2 linked regions of the Caenorhabditis elegans genome follow. The protein of the gene in region 2 interacts with the protein of the main gene of each other region in a biochemical or structural test. Each region holds a gene or a part of one and is shown on either strand. Other genes may lie near its edges.

Evidence for each region. Proteins that work in one complex are often made in the same cells at the same time.
Region 1: of the proteins of mes-3 (region 2) and mes-2, one has a biochemical effect on the other in vitro, tested with the Caenorhabditis elegans proteins (one study listed by BioGRID).

What each region holds. Positions count from the first base shown.
Region 1 is NC_003280.10:14,382,231-14,388,982, reverse strand, and holds mes-2 (Histone-lysine N-methyltransferase mes-2), read right to left. Parts: upstream 5,011-6,752; 5' UTR 5,008-5,010; coding exon 4,341-5,007; intron 3,958-4,340; coding exon 3,389-3,957; intron 2,947-3,388; coding exon 2,798-2,946; intron 2,754-2,797; coding exon 2,536-2,753; intron 2,116-2,535; coding exon 1,923-2,115; intron 1,658-1,922; coding exon 1,425-1,657; intron 1,209-1,424; coding exon 998-1,208; intron 766-997; coding exon 684-765; 3' UTR 529-683; downstream 1-528. Other genes in the region: F26H11.8 (uncharacterized protein), read right to left, coding at 159-363, 415-470; sdz-26 (SKN-1 Dependent Zygotic transcript), read right to left, coding at 5,674-5,829, 5,880-6,161, 6,212-6,397, 6,451-6,630, 6,687-6,752. UniProt on the Caenorhabditis elegans protein: Polycomb group (PcG) protein. Catalytic subunit of a the mes-2/mes-3/mes-6 complex, which methylates 'Lys-27' of histone H3, leading to transcriptional repression of the affected target genes.
Region 2 is NC_003279.8:4,994,913-5,002,866, reverse strand, and holds the start of mes-3 (Polycomb protein mes-3), read right to left. Parts: upstream 6,029-7,954; 5' UTR 6,024-6,028; coding exon 5,972-6,023; intron 5,351-5,971; coding exon 5,132-5,350; intron 5,072-5,131; coding exon 4,908-5,071; intron 4,857-4,907; coding exon 4,772-4,856; intron 4,226-4,771; coding exon 3,974-4,225; intron 3,927-3,973; coding exon 3,782-3,926; intron 3,475-3,781; coding exon 3,348-3,474; intron 3,296-3,347; coding exon 3,177-3,295; intron 3,078-3,176; coding exon 3,021-3,077; intron 2,631-3,020; coding exon 2,516-2,630; intron 2,467-2,515; coding exon 2,180-2,466; intron 2,134-2,179; coding exon 2,010-2,133; intron 1,313-2,009; coding exon 1,053-1,312; intron 1,006-1,052; coding exon 942-1,005; intron 712-941; coding exon 517-711; 3' UTR 1-516. UniProt on the Caenorhabditis elegans protein: Component of a Polycomb group (PcG) complex. PcG proteins act by forming multiprotein complexes, which are required to maintain the transcriptionally repressive state of homeotic genes throughout development.

The DNA.
Region 1 (6,752 bases), on a different chromosome or scaffold from region 2:
GGAGGATGGACAAGAAGCAGAAGCTCTCCGATTCAAAGTTTTCGGGCAAAATTCTCCATTTGGATTCACCTCGCAATCGTGATGAATTTTCCACGCGATGAACTTGTCCAGGTACACATTTCTATAATTGGAATTTTTCTATAATATTTGGAACATTTTTATCTCTGACAACCCGGATGCAATGGGGCCTGCCTACAATCGACGCCTTTTCTCTGTCTTCCCTGGATTTTGGATCTCGCTGCAAACTTTCTCGCAGCTTTCGGAATGCCAAGCTTCACGCAAATCTCGTACGTTGGATCGATCTGGCAAAATGTTTTGAGTTTCTCAGGAATTACGGCCGGTGGTTCGATTAAGCTTCTGCTACTGGAATTTTTGTCATTTTCAGATTTTCCTGCAGAAAAAAATCCAACTTACGTTTCCGAAGCCTCCAGCAGCATGGGAAATAAGAAAAATAAGAAGAAAATCACCATCTTTAAGGAAGAAGTGAAAAAATTGTGCTGTGTCGGGCGATTTTATAGGAGGAATTTTGATTCGATTATATTTATGGTTTTCAGAAATTTGAAGGAAGGAAAATGTATTCAGAAACATGAGATTCTAGGGAAATAACAGTTAAACAAGTAGATCTTGAGATTTGAAAGTGATATCAACGGGAAAAATTTAAGAAAAAAAGTCAAGAAAAAAGATTATTCAGAAGTCATTGGTTTGGAGAGTTTCTGGCTTTTGGGCCTGCTGGGCTTCTCGGATCTCTCCTTGGTTTGGACCATCCTGGAAAAAGTTTATTCAAAAAGTCAAGTTGAAAGTCTACACAAAACTGGTTCTCGAAGCGACCGAAAATTTGCAGCTACCGTAACCAACCACAATTTTCTACGGCTTATCATGATTTTTTTGATCCAAAAAAATCTTTGTGTTATAAATTTTTAAAAATTGAGTGGAAAAAACTAGAGGGTACGGTAGCTGCAGTCGTCTCGAGACCCGAAAAGCTTTTTGCAAAATCTACCTGAACGCTATCTGATGTTCTCCAGAATAACTGTAGTCAAATGTGAGCTCTTCACTAATCTCAAGCCGTCTCTTCGCATAGAACCCAATTCGGTGCTCTCCGGCGACAACCATCGTTCTCGCGTAGCACGTCGGATTCTTGCTGTCATGATTGGCAAATCGTGCCAAGTTTCCAATTTTGTACGAATCGATCGCACCCCCGGTTTCAATGTCTGCAAAAATATTTTTTTTTGTTCCGAAAAATTGAATTTTCAAAAAAAAAGAAAACTTTTGATGGTTTTTTTTTTCGATATTTTGTTAATTTTTTGAAATAATTTTTTCTTATTTATTTGATTTTCAAAAAATCGAAATGTTGTCTCTAAAAACCCAAAAAAAATTTAAATTTAAAACATTTTTCTGCGACACCGTGATCTAAAAAAAGTACATACTAAAAATGTAGCTGCACTGATATCGATCATATATCGCACCGCGTCGTTCGGCTTCATCATCGGAAATTCGTTCACCAGTGTATTCCGTAATGAACTCGTCTTTTTCGGCGGGTTCCAACAAGAAAAGTCCATTGCCTGCTATTTTCGATGGCCCGCAATACGTTCGTTTTTGGATCATTCTAGTCATTCCAAAATTGCGGCATTTTATTATGTTCGAGTCGATGGCGTCGCATCTGAATTTGTTTTTAAATTGAGAATTTTCAGGTACAAAATTCGATTTTTCTGTGCTATTTTGATTTTATATACCTTTTTTTAAATTTGGGATTTTGATTGAAGATTTTTAATGGACATTTGGTCCTTCTTTTTCGAGAAATTTTCAGTTCGATCAATTTTTTTTGGAAAGTTTAATTTTTTCCTTTCTTAAAATTTCCATTTCTGGAAGTTCTGAAAAATTAAAGCTTACTAAAAAAACTTTTCAAAAAATTCCTGTGCACTCACTTGCACATATTACACGTCATCGGATTACATTCCCAATTGGCTCGATAGCACTGGCAAGCCTTCGTGTAGCACTGACCGGCGGCGCAATTGCATCCCGGGAATCGCTGAGAACAGTTTATATCGCATTTGCACATGTACGAGCACACTCCGTTTTCACGACATGCACAATTTTCGGCTGTCGCGTTGCATGGGCCTGAAATGTTTAAAAATTAATTTTCAATTAATGGGGTTATTAATGCGATGTAGTAAAATGTGCAAAAATGTGTTTTCATTCATTTGTGTCCAATAAATACATGTGTGTCCAATAAATACAAAAAAATATTCGTTTTCTGCATTTTTCGACATCGGTCGACAGCCCACTTCACATGCTGAAGGCGAGAGACGCAGAGAGATATGCACCCGCGGGTTTTCTCTGCGTGTCTCGCCTTCAGCATGAGAAGTGGGATGTCGCCCAATGTCGAAAAATGCAGGAAATGCCGAAAAATGTCGAAAAATGCAAAAAATTAATGCTACATTGTTCGATGCACATGGGTAGGTGAAAAATGTATAAAAACAAATTATTGCATTTTTCTACATTTCACGAATAACCCCATAATTGTTTTCCATTCCTCACCCGCATGTCGACACGCTGTGATTGGCGTCACCGCGGTCATGCGAACTTTCTCGCTATTTCGCTGAGAATCACGCATATCATCTTCTCGAATCAATTTTTCCGCATCCAGACCATCTCTCAATGCTTGAATACGCAGACTGTCGTGACGCAGCTTACGCTTCGCCTTCTCCTGACTCAACTGATTACGACGGAAGTTGTTGACTCGATCCTTGATACTTCTGAAACAATTCAATTTTTTATATAAAAAATCGCGTCAACTGACAATCTATTCGACGGTTGTCCCATTTTAAGTCGTCGGGCGCTCACATTTTCTGCCATCGACATCATTAGATGATATGCGTCACGACATGAACGAATTTTGCTTTCCTCGTCGTCTTCGTCGACATATTTTTTGACAAACTCGCAGAATGGCTGAGAATGGATTTTTTGCATTTTAAGCTATAAAGCTCGATTTTGCACCCTTTTTTCCTATTTTTCGCTATTTTTTGTTTAAAATAGTTTGATTTACATAATATACAAACTCTTAAACGCAAAATGAAAAACAAAATAACGAAAAAGGTGCAAAATCAAGCTTTATAGCTTTAAAAAAAAGAGAAAACTTGCGAGAAATTAATTTCACTGGAAATATAATTTTTCAATAAAAATGTTTCGGAGGGATCATCTCAGACCTCCAACTATCGCATGACACTATTTTTATTCCGAATTCAGGAATAGTTTTTGAACTCTTCCCTTGTTAGAAAAATTATTGAAAATTTAAAATTACAGTACTCTTCAAAGACGCACGCCTTTTCGCATTTAACAAAAATTTGTCGCGTCGAGGCCAGGTTTTGGCGCAAAAATCGCGTACTCTTACAATATATGTATTGAACACGTAAATGTTCACAATGAGCGCTCCATCTTCAATCGGCATCTTTGCAATTCTTGATTTCATGAAATAAATCTTCACTTCTTTCTGCAGAATTTCTTCAGAATCCGGCACAAGAACTTCTGAAACTTCTTTCATCGTCACCGATTTCCAGCAATTTCCAGAACACATCTTTCCATCATTTTCCGGGTTATTTGGCAGCGGAAGCATCGCATTATAGAATTCACCATTCGGAAACTCGATTGGAATTTCGGCTTTGAATCCGTGAATCGCACATGTATATGCGAGGCACGCGTAACACGTCGGATTTCGAAGATTTTGAGCACCTTCAGCGATTTTTGTCTTCTTCCATGGTTCGAGGCTCGACGGATCGAATCCTTTTTCAGCAAAGTTCTCGCACAAAACGGGAAAAGCCGACGAAAATTCTCTCTGTGAACTTTTGTTTGGCCATAGACGGTAGAGGGTGTAGTAGAATACGTCTGGGCTGCCTTGGTAGTCTTTGAGCGCAGCACGGCATAGTTTGTAGAGTATCCAATCATTGACATAGGACCAGTTGTCTGAAAAATTTAACATCAATTCGCTTAAAAAATACCTGGAGCTAAGGATTTGCAAGATTGTCCCGAGGTTTGATGCATGTCGATTTATGAAACATTTAGAACTACACGTGGACAAGTGGGAACTTGTTTTTCGCATTTTTCACTTTCAAGGCTATTTTTTAAAACTAATTTTGTGTTTGACATTCAAAATGACATTAATTGAAATAAAATTTCAAAAAAATTTTACGGCGATTTCTCACTGAAAAGTGAGAAATTAGGCAATTTGAATGTAAAATGTAAAAATAAATAGAAATAATGGTACCTTCGTCCCGCCTGTTTTTTTTTCGATTTTTGGGGGTTTCTCAGAGAAAATGGAAAAAATCCGGTATTTTGCAATTTCTCACCCGAAAATCCATGAATTCCATCTGGGAACATATCAATCAAATGCTCATAGATATTCCCATCGTCAATACCATCGCCAAAATACGGCATATGCGTGAGCCGCAGCTGATCCGGAGTCGCCACACTTTGCTCGATTGGAACCCAGTATATCATTGGCGGGGAAATGTCGCCAACCTCGATACGTGAACACGGAGCACGAAACTTCTTCATCAAATCTCCTTCCTCCGTTCGATCCGGTTTGATCCATGTAACTGTGGAATCGGAGACTTTGTAGTCGTTTTCTTCGTATTTTTCACAGTTTTTGAATGAAAATTTTGCGATAGTTCTGCCCTCTCCTAAATTTTCTTGCAGCCTTCTGCGATATTCATTAACACTGCTGCTCGCATCCTTCAACCAATCTTTGATGTCTGTGTCCAGCTCGTCTTTTACTCGAATGTCATAGTCATCTTTGATAGCATTGAAGTGGCCTTTAAGCATACGTTTACATTCTTCAATTCCTTGTTCGCACACGGTCTCCTTGATTTTTTCAGATGAAAAAATTGGCTGAATTTTCACAAAGCGAGGCAAATTTTTCGATTTCTTCGATTTTCCCATAGAAGTTTCGCACTTTTTCCCGCGCTTCTTTGTTTTTCCTGAGGGAGTTGATGTGCTGGGCTCTGAGTTGCTCATTCTGAAAGAATATTGCGTTTTAAAAAGGGAGAAAATTGTATTAAGACGAAAAAGACGAGAGAATAAATCGAAAACAAACAATTTTTAATTTTTAAAAACATTGCAAGTGTTGCGTGCAATCGCGCCCTATTGATAATGTGAAGTTGGCGCGAAGGTTTGGAATTTGAATCTGACAAGGAAAACCAAATGCTTTTTGCAAAATATGTTACCCAGGCGCGAAGTTCTGCCATTTTTATGCTAAAAATACGGTGCCAGGTCTCAACACAGCAATTTTTTGTTAAATGCGAAAATATATGCACCCTTTAAAAAAGTACATAAAAGTCAAATTTTCGTGGCCGCGGAGTTTTCATCGAATTTTTTCCGATCGCAATATATTAAAAAGCTTATATTAAATATAGAAAAAAAATCAATAAATTTTCGAAAAAAGGATTTAGGAAAACCTACTTATAAAAAAATCGATGAAAATTCCTGAGAGTTTGCAATTATGTCTTTAAAGGCACACACCTTTTTGCATTTAACCAAAATTGGTTTTGGTGAGACCGGGTACCGTAATATTTGCAAAATTTTGCATACTAACTATTACTAGTAAGGCTGAATAATTCCAAGAACAATTTTATTTGAACTTTGGAAAAATTACAAAAAAAATTTTTAAGAAAATTAAATCTATTATTGACGCGGTTCCATGCTCCGAATCTTCACCAGTAGCTCATTGATCTCTTCAGTTCGATATGGAAGATTCAGTAGAGTATTCTCCACCGCAAACTCGACAAATCGCTCCCGTGAAATATTGCAATTCAGTAGCAACTCAACGGCTCCGTGAACCTGAAAAATATTATTTTGAAAATAGAGAAAAACATCAGAGGTAAACTCACAAATCCATCGTCTTGCTTCAAGAATCCCATCATCAAAGACATGAGCACTGGCCATGCTTCTTCTCCTTCTTCCATTCCGTTCACAGCTTTTTTCACCTCCCGGAAAGCTTCAATATGCTGGGAATTCAATGTGGACTCCTCAATTAGCTCGATCTCATCAAATAGTTGTGAAGCAGCTGAGATCTTACGAGGAAGAGCTCGGATCAGTGATTGGATCTCGTATTTTCTGTAAAGTGCCAGTGGAAACCGGTGCTCTTGGTGGTGGATTATGGCTCTTGTGATCTGAAATATCATATTATAATTTAAATTGTAAAAATTAATCTATAACTCACCACTCGTCGATTCCCAGTCTTAATTGATTGCACCAGGTGCACCATGAGAACTTCCCAAAGGGCCCACTCATAATTCTCCATCATTTTGTAGTGCCCTTCCTCTTGATCACCATGCAAGTGGAGATTATCGAGAAGTTTTGGGAGCAGCTCTGTCTGATCGAAATTATCCATTTCGAGATTTGGGATCTAAAATGGAAAATTAATAGTTACCCTAAACTTTTCTTTGAAAAAAAACATGCATCTTGATCCAGCAACGACTCGTCTGACAGCTCCCGTCGCAATTGTTCAATTTTTCGCACCAACTCGTCTGCTTCAACAAATCTGTACTGGAACTGAGCAGCAGTCTCGTGCACTCTATAGTACTCGAAATCCGCAAGTGATAGCTCCAATGCACCGAGAAGTTTGAAGGCACATTTTACCTGAAAACCATAATTGTTTTTGAATTCCCGCTGAAATTAGTGACCATTTAACTTACAAGAGCCAAATCATCGAAACACATCATATCAGTGAGAAGCTTCAAAACATGGTCCGGGACAAATGT
Region 2 (7,954 bases):
AAATGAAGAAAAACTTAGTGATGACTCGTGTAATCTGGAAGATCATTGAAGTACGACGTTCTTTGGGTCAAAAGGTGCTAAAAATTGTAGTATTTTTGGGATCAGCGGTGGGTGGAAATTACTTTTGGCAATTCCATAAATTGGCCAATATTGTTCATTAAAAATTAGTCTCAAAATAGAAAATTAATTTATTTAAAAATATGAAAATAACATTTATTTCAGCTGAAAGATTTGAAAATTGCACAAAAATAGTCTGAAAGTTTCCAATTGCCGAATAGCAAAATTCGACAATTTCCAACTTCCAGGTAATTTTTAATCATTTTTTCAAGTGTTTCAACTGAAACAAATGTTATTTGCAGAAGAATCAAATTATTTTCTATGTTTTCAGACTAATTTTTAATGTCATTTAGTAGAATTGCCACCCACCACGATTTGGTATAGTTGATTGATAAATGGAAAAGAGATTAAACACAGGATTTCCAAAAAGAAAAAGATACAAGGAAAAAAGGGGATAATCTAATTAGAAGATGGTATATCTCGTTGGCGATTTTTCCATTCTTTTTTCAATTGCTTATATCGAACCATGGGCAATTCAAAATCTTCTAATTTCCAGTCAGGGCTGACCATAGCGATGAGATTTATTTGTTTCTCGAATAAAGAATTCAATTTCATGTCGAAAATGTACTGATGGTATTTGTTGATGAAGCCAGTCTGAAAATTATTTATGAAAAATTCAAAAATGCGTTCTAAGTTAAGGCAAATCTTGGCAAAAGTGTTGAGATGCTTATTTTAGTACGCTAATTCATTTTTTGTAGAATCAAAGACTCTGAAAATAATTTTCATTTTCGTTGAAAAGAAGTTTAAAGGTTTTGATTCAAAAATACTGTACTAAGCAATTCCGTACGTTTGCCAATCTAGTCCTGAATGTTCAATAAACTCACCAAAACTCTAGATTTCCATTGTGCTGAGAAGCATCCAGGGCGTTGTCCAGCTTCAGAGTAGAAACTTCAAAAATTGGGTTTTAATATATGACTTAATATTATAACACTTACTGTCTGCATAGAATATTGAATAGTTCAGTTTTTCCACTTGGGAAGAATATTTCTGAAAATGTCGATATAGGACATCCTTCCAAATCCAAACTTAAAGTGGTATTTCCGACTGTTGGAATAGGTTTTCTGGGTTTAACCGCAAAATCTTTGACATTCATCACAGACATCTTTTTATTATATTCGTCCGTTTCCGTCTTCGTTAGTGGATAGTCAAGAATTGTCATTTCGCCATATTTTTGAGCATTCTTCGGAAGATTCAACTGAAATTTGTAATTTTGCTTTAATTTTTTTTGTTTGCGGCGACAAGTTTTTTTTAGTGTTCAGTGCAGGAATCACTAGAATTATCTGAAAATAACTTTTTTTCAACTAAAACATTCGAGAAAGTGTTCAAAATTACCTGAAATTCAATAATTCGATAATTGGCAATCAGCAACTTCCAGGACATTTTTTGAGTACTTTTTCAAAATTTTCAGCCAGAATAAATGTTATTTCCAGATAATTCGAGTGTTTTTCTATATTTTGACATTAATTTTAAATACAAATTGTTGGAGCAACATGTCACAATAGAAAATTTTTAATATCGTAATCAAGGCTGGGATTTTTTGTTTTTTTTTTCCTGTTTTTGGAGTCAATTCAAAAAATTCAAAAAATATAATGAAAGGTTCTCAATTTTTCCTTTCTCACTTTTTTTTTTTTTTTTGGGTTTTTGAGGGAAAAATAGATTTCGCCTTCAGGAAACAATTTTGTTCGCTTTTTCAGAAATACATACAAATTGCTTCTAAAAAGAAAACAAATTATGCAATTTTTTCGAAATATCGGAAAAAAGAAAAATCTTAAAGTTTTGTTTTATTTTTGCAAAAATCAGTAAATCGAAACAAAAAATTCCATTTTCGATTTTAGTGAAAAAAGCGAAAATTATTACAACTTTTATGTCTTTTTTTTAAAAACAATTCTTACTTTTTCTTTTCTCAGGAACTCAATATCTGAATACATGTGAGCATTATTCATCGGATATGCTTCCATAAGACCTTCGATTTTTCCATTTTCTTCGCCATTCAGCTGGGGCACTAAGTCATTTGCTCTGCAAATCATATATTTTTTTACTGGATTGCATTAAATCAAATTACCTGTTCATATAAACATAACGAATATATGGCATATGACCCGAAGATTGTATAAAATCTAATCCATATTTCCGTGTTCCACCTGGTGCTCGATTTCTCGCAGAAAAACATGGTGAATCATCTGAATCATCTTCAATCGTAATAACCTCAATTGGAACGGAAACTGGAGTTTCTTCTCTAACTCTGATCACTCGGGTAGGTTTTATTGGAATGCTTCGTTGAGTTCCAGGACGGTAGGAACACGAATTTTCCAGCAAAGTGACACCAGTTTCATTGAAATATGAATTGATCTGAAATAATTGCACTTAAGCTTTGAAATTATAGTTTTTTAAGAATTACCTTCGTCGGATCGACTGAAAAACACGGCCATCTTGAAGTGAGTCGGGTCAAATGTCTCTTACGTCTTCCGCATAGCTTTTTCGTTCCAAGGAGTAACTGCTTGAGAGTGATTGTACTGTAATTATATTTTCTAAACAATTTTGAAGAACAGTTAGATGATCTATGGTTGGATAGAAACATGAAGTTCCGCGAATATCCAATGTAGTGAGTGATTAACTATAAAATTTAGATGATTTTTTTTGAAGTTCTATCCGGTGTATGCAGATTGCCTTCTGTAATTTTGGACAAAACCCCCCAGTTTTAACTCAAAAATTCTGAAATGCAGCTTCACGGTTTTCAAAAATCACGACAAGCTATTTGGAAGGTATCAATTACAGCCAACTAAGAAAAAAGAAGAAATGCACCCGAAATTAGAAATTCTGTAAGGGAAAAAATCCAGCAAACTTAGTGATTTAAAAATTAGATATTCAAACAAAAAATCAGGTGGTAGGGATCAAAAACGAACTCTTCATATTGCGATCCACAATCCTCATCGCAACTCGTTCCTGGCTCGACGGAGATTCTGAAAATGATGGAAAACACAATAAGCGTGCGGGATTACGGTCGTGCAAAAACCAGATAAAAACAAAATTAAAAAAAGAGAAAAAATCGAATTTCTCACCCAGATTTTAGTGTCGTCCTTCTGGATCGCGGCTGCCATGGAGAGAATTTTGAAATGTCCGGTCTATCGAAATAATTATGAGTATTTGAAGAGAAGATTAGACGAGCGAGATGAGAATCCTGTAGAAAAAAATCAATTATTTATAAAAGTTTATTAACTCTTCATCGTTACCTCTTTGTTATAATTTGTATCGCTTATAAACTCCAAATGCTTAACATTATTCATCCAAGCATTCTCGAGTTCCGGTTCATCGGCCTTCCCGAAAATTTTCAAATACGCTGGCTTTTCTTCTCGATCACTGGAAAAATCAAGAGCAATATTTTTCATTATACAATTTTTTTTGAAAAAATATTTTCTACCGTATACCCGTCAATTTGAGCGCGTGTTTCTCGAAAAAAAATGTTTTTCAGTTTTTTATTTATTTTGACAACAGTTTTCGCTCAAAATCTTCAGAAAACCCCCTTTTTAAAAAATTAGCAGGCCAGTTTAATTTTATAGATTCACCTTCGGATAAATTTTGGAAAAAAAAACTTTTAAAGTATTTTAATTTTTTTTGAATTTTTAAGTTTTTAAATTTTTGCATTTATAATTTTAAAGCGACTTACAGTAAGATAATACGTTGAACTCCGTCATTTAGGCAGTTAATTTCAGCATCCTTATCATACATCAAAGTGCACCCAAAACGAACAAGTTGCTGAAAGTTTTCTGAGGAAGCAGCCGTTTCGAATGATGCTCGAGTTGATTTTCCTCCTACAAAAGAAACTTTTTATTTAAAAAAAAGAAATGATTTCACTCACTTGTCCCAACTCGATTTTCTCCAAGTTTTGGTGTTTTTCGTTTCACAATCACTGCGAGATATACGTTTTTTGCCTTTTTCAGTTCAGGGCCCGTCAAAGTGATATTTTTTACATTTGAACTGTTATAGGAGATAGATGGTAACGTTCTATTCGCCATTGGAATAACTGAGATTCCATTTTCAATGCAGGTGACTGAATCATTATCGTCGACAATTATCACGTAGCTTTGAACAATTGCAGCAGAAGTAACATCTGAAAATGTTCTTTTTTTTAATGAATTAATGAGAAAATAATTTTAAAACCGAAAAAAACTATGTGTGTGTGTATTTTTGAATCTTAATTTACAATTAGAAAATAATTTCATTTTTTTGGAAATATTGTTCTTACTTTTTGAAAAAAAACCTCAAACATTTCAAAATCATTAAATTTGCTTTAAACTATAGGAAAAAAATAATTTTTATAAATTTTGTGTGATTTTAGGAAATTGCAAAAACTGAAAAAAAAAGCGAATTCCGACATTTTCGCGTTTTCTGGCTATATATTTATTGAGTTTAATTCATTTTTTGTTTTATAATGCAAATCAGAACTTTTCAATTTTTTTTGACTTTTTTAATTAAAAAAATAATTTTTTTTAAAACCAAATTTCAAAAAGACTTTTATTTCTTGTGAAATATGGTTTCAATCAATATTGAATAGATATTTTTAGTTCAAAGTGATTTTCTGTTGGTCTTTTTCGAATTAAGTGTTTTTATCGAGATTTCGTTTCAAATTTTTCAAAATTTTCAAAAATAAACTAACAAATCTTCTCATCCATCGAACTTCCCCAGGAGGATATTTTCATGAATTGTAGAGTACAGAAATTATATAAACCATTTTCTCTGTGCTGAAAGAAAAATTTATTTTGCAAATGAATCCATCAAAAATTCAAACAAACCGCATCGGTCTTTAGTCGCGGGAAAAATTCATCGATGCTTTTAATCACACGCCTTCTACACACATATTTCTTTCCAAATAATAATTGTTTGTCGAAGACATTACGAACGAGAAACTTGTTATCTTCCGGCAATCCATATTTTTTCACATAATTGCGAATTTCAACTGAAAAAATGTGAATTAATAGAAAAATTGAGATTTTAATTAATGATTTTTAAAACTAACGTCCGTCACTGCAAGTCGGCAACGTTTTTTGAATATTTTCTAATTTGGTAGGTGGATTCTTTCGTCTACTGGAGCTTGTGACTGGATTTGAAGATTCCCGAGAACTTCCGGCCTCTGATGAAGTTGGAGTTGACGGAAGAGATTTGTTCAAAAGATTTTCTTTTTCTTCTTCTCGACGAGCTGACCTCGATTGTTTTGTCTTGATAAAAACCGGCTCATCTGCAAAAATAAGCTTAAAGTATTAATTCAAAAATGCTAAAAATTACTATAATTTGACAGAAAAAAAATTAATTTCAAACTATAGACAATTACTTTATTGATCTGAAAATAACATTTATTTCATTTATTTTAGCATAAAATTTTGGGAAAGTGTTCAAAAATGGCCTGAGAGTTGCCAATTGCTGATTAAACGAAACATCGAATTTCAAGCCATTTTTGAACAATTTTTCAAATTTTTTCAGCTTAAATAAATGTTATTTTTAGATAATTCAAGTAATTTTCTATTTTTTGACACTGTTTTGTAATAAAATATGATGGAACAAAATGGCACAATAGGTAATTTTGTAGAATTGCCGAAAATAATTTTCACTGGTGGAAAAATTAAGAAAACAGGAAAAACTTTAATTATAATAGTTTAAATTACAATTTAAACAAGAAGTTAAATAAAAAGTTTCAGGCCGAGTTTCTCGAATAAAAAATTAACTATTTTTAAAGGTGAGCGTTGTGTTAGAATACGCGGGTCTCGGCGCGATTGGGATTTATGTTTCAAAATTAATTAAAAATTGATTTTAAGAATTTGATTTTTGTAAATTCCAGTAAATGTCCTATTCTCCAACTAACCATTCTTCCGTTTTCTCCCTCCAACTTTCACCTCTGCCGTCGCCGGAGTCATACCCTGCAATGATTTTTTGTGTTTTAAAATAGTTTAGCAAAGATCGAGATTATCGATTTATCTCGAAATCGCCAATCAGAGAGAGAGAGAGAAAGAAAAATGTGAAACGAACAGCGCAAAAAAGATATAATGTCAGATGAGAGAGACTTCGTTCTGGGAAACTGAGTAGAGAGTATGTCAATTGAGGAGACGCAGAATAAAAAAGAAATTCACATCATATTCAGACAGACGGCTGGTTCGATAAGGAATCGAATGAAGGAATGCGTGGTTATTGCCAGTCAAACAATTTGTTCATTAAAAAATTATACCTATGAAGATTTGTAAAACTTAATGGTTGATTAAAAATGTACCGTAAGAACCTTTTTGCAAAATTAAAAAAAAAATTTAGAAAAGTTCTATGCATGTTTAACATCTATATTTGGTTATTACGGTCCATTTTCTGTCATTTTGAGCAAATTTACAAAATGACTATACTTTATTTTAATTTTATTAACTTTAGGATTATAAAAAATATGTTTGGCTTGATATTTCACAGATATTTCGGATGAATTCTCAATAATAATTTTATTTATTTAAATAGAATTTCAAAAAATGTACGCTCTTTGTTTTTAGAGCCATGAACAACGCGTAGAGGTAGAAAGCGAGCAATGCACTATGCATGTGCTTAAAAACTTTAAATATTAAAAAAATGAGTCATATTGGTCGCGTTCAAACAAGAGCGGAGAGCACGACAAATCAATAAAAGAGAAGGAGCGACGCCTACTCGAGGGAAAGGAAGAGGAGCGTGCGCATGTCTCCGCGTTCGAGAGTTTGGAATTATAATTTGGAACGGATGAGAGACTGAAACCAACGAAATTATATTCCAAGTTTTACAATGAAATTAAAAATATGTCAATTGAAGTTATAAGTTTAAAGAAAAAGGATTCAATTGTTGATTTATCGAAATCACGCTGTCATACATTTTCATTGAATGGAAATGGATAAATTGTGTATTCTTGTTCTCACAGAAAAATAATCTGCGAAGAAAGAAGTAGAGCTGAAAAATGTATTACTAATTTTCTACAGTAAACTCAAAGACGCATAGGCAAAATCATTTTGTAATATTATTACCGTGGCGAGACCCATCACGTGAGTGCAGATACAGTGTACAGCGGAAACATTAGGTCATTATGAATATCAAATGAAAGAAATCGATCCAAAAAAGTATGAAGGGTGCGAAAAAAAGAGCAACAAGTGCATTTTTTAGCTGCCCACTCTTAGAAGTGTGCACTTTATGACATTATAAAACTACATCAAAGGGCAATATAATTGATGAGTTATTGAACTAGATCTAGCTAGATTATTGGACATTTTATTACACTTTCGCTGCGGGAAGAGGGAGTGTTCGAACAAGAGATTATTATAAATCTATTTTGAAGGGAATGAAGAATAAACCTCCATTCGATCGAATTTTGGAATATTTGGCGATTTTTCGTGATTTTCTTTTGATAATTGTACGTTCGAAAAACAATAATTACAAATTATTCAATGAAAAACCGCGAAACTGAACAATTTATGGAACTTTAGAACTTTCTCAAGAGGATAACGGCGGTTTCCACTATTTTACAGTGAAAAATGCATTCATAGACCACCAATAATTTGTTTTTAACCAAAAAAATCAAAAGGATTCCCGTAAAATCATGAGAAAACACGAAAAACCTCTACAAACATCCAAAATTAAACAATTTATTAATTGTCCGAGAGGAGTACACGGCCGAGAATCATTTGAAACATTTTCGCGCGAAATTCAAATTAGATTAACGAATTTTGACTGTCGACTCTTGGAAGCACAATTTTTGATGTTTCTTCTCATCTACTATTAAAAATAAAAATAAAAAAACACTGCGAATTAAATAAAAAACTACCGTACTCTTTTGAAGACATATTTTAAA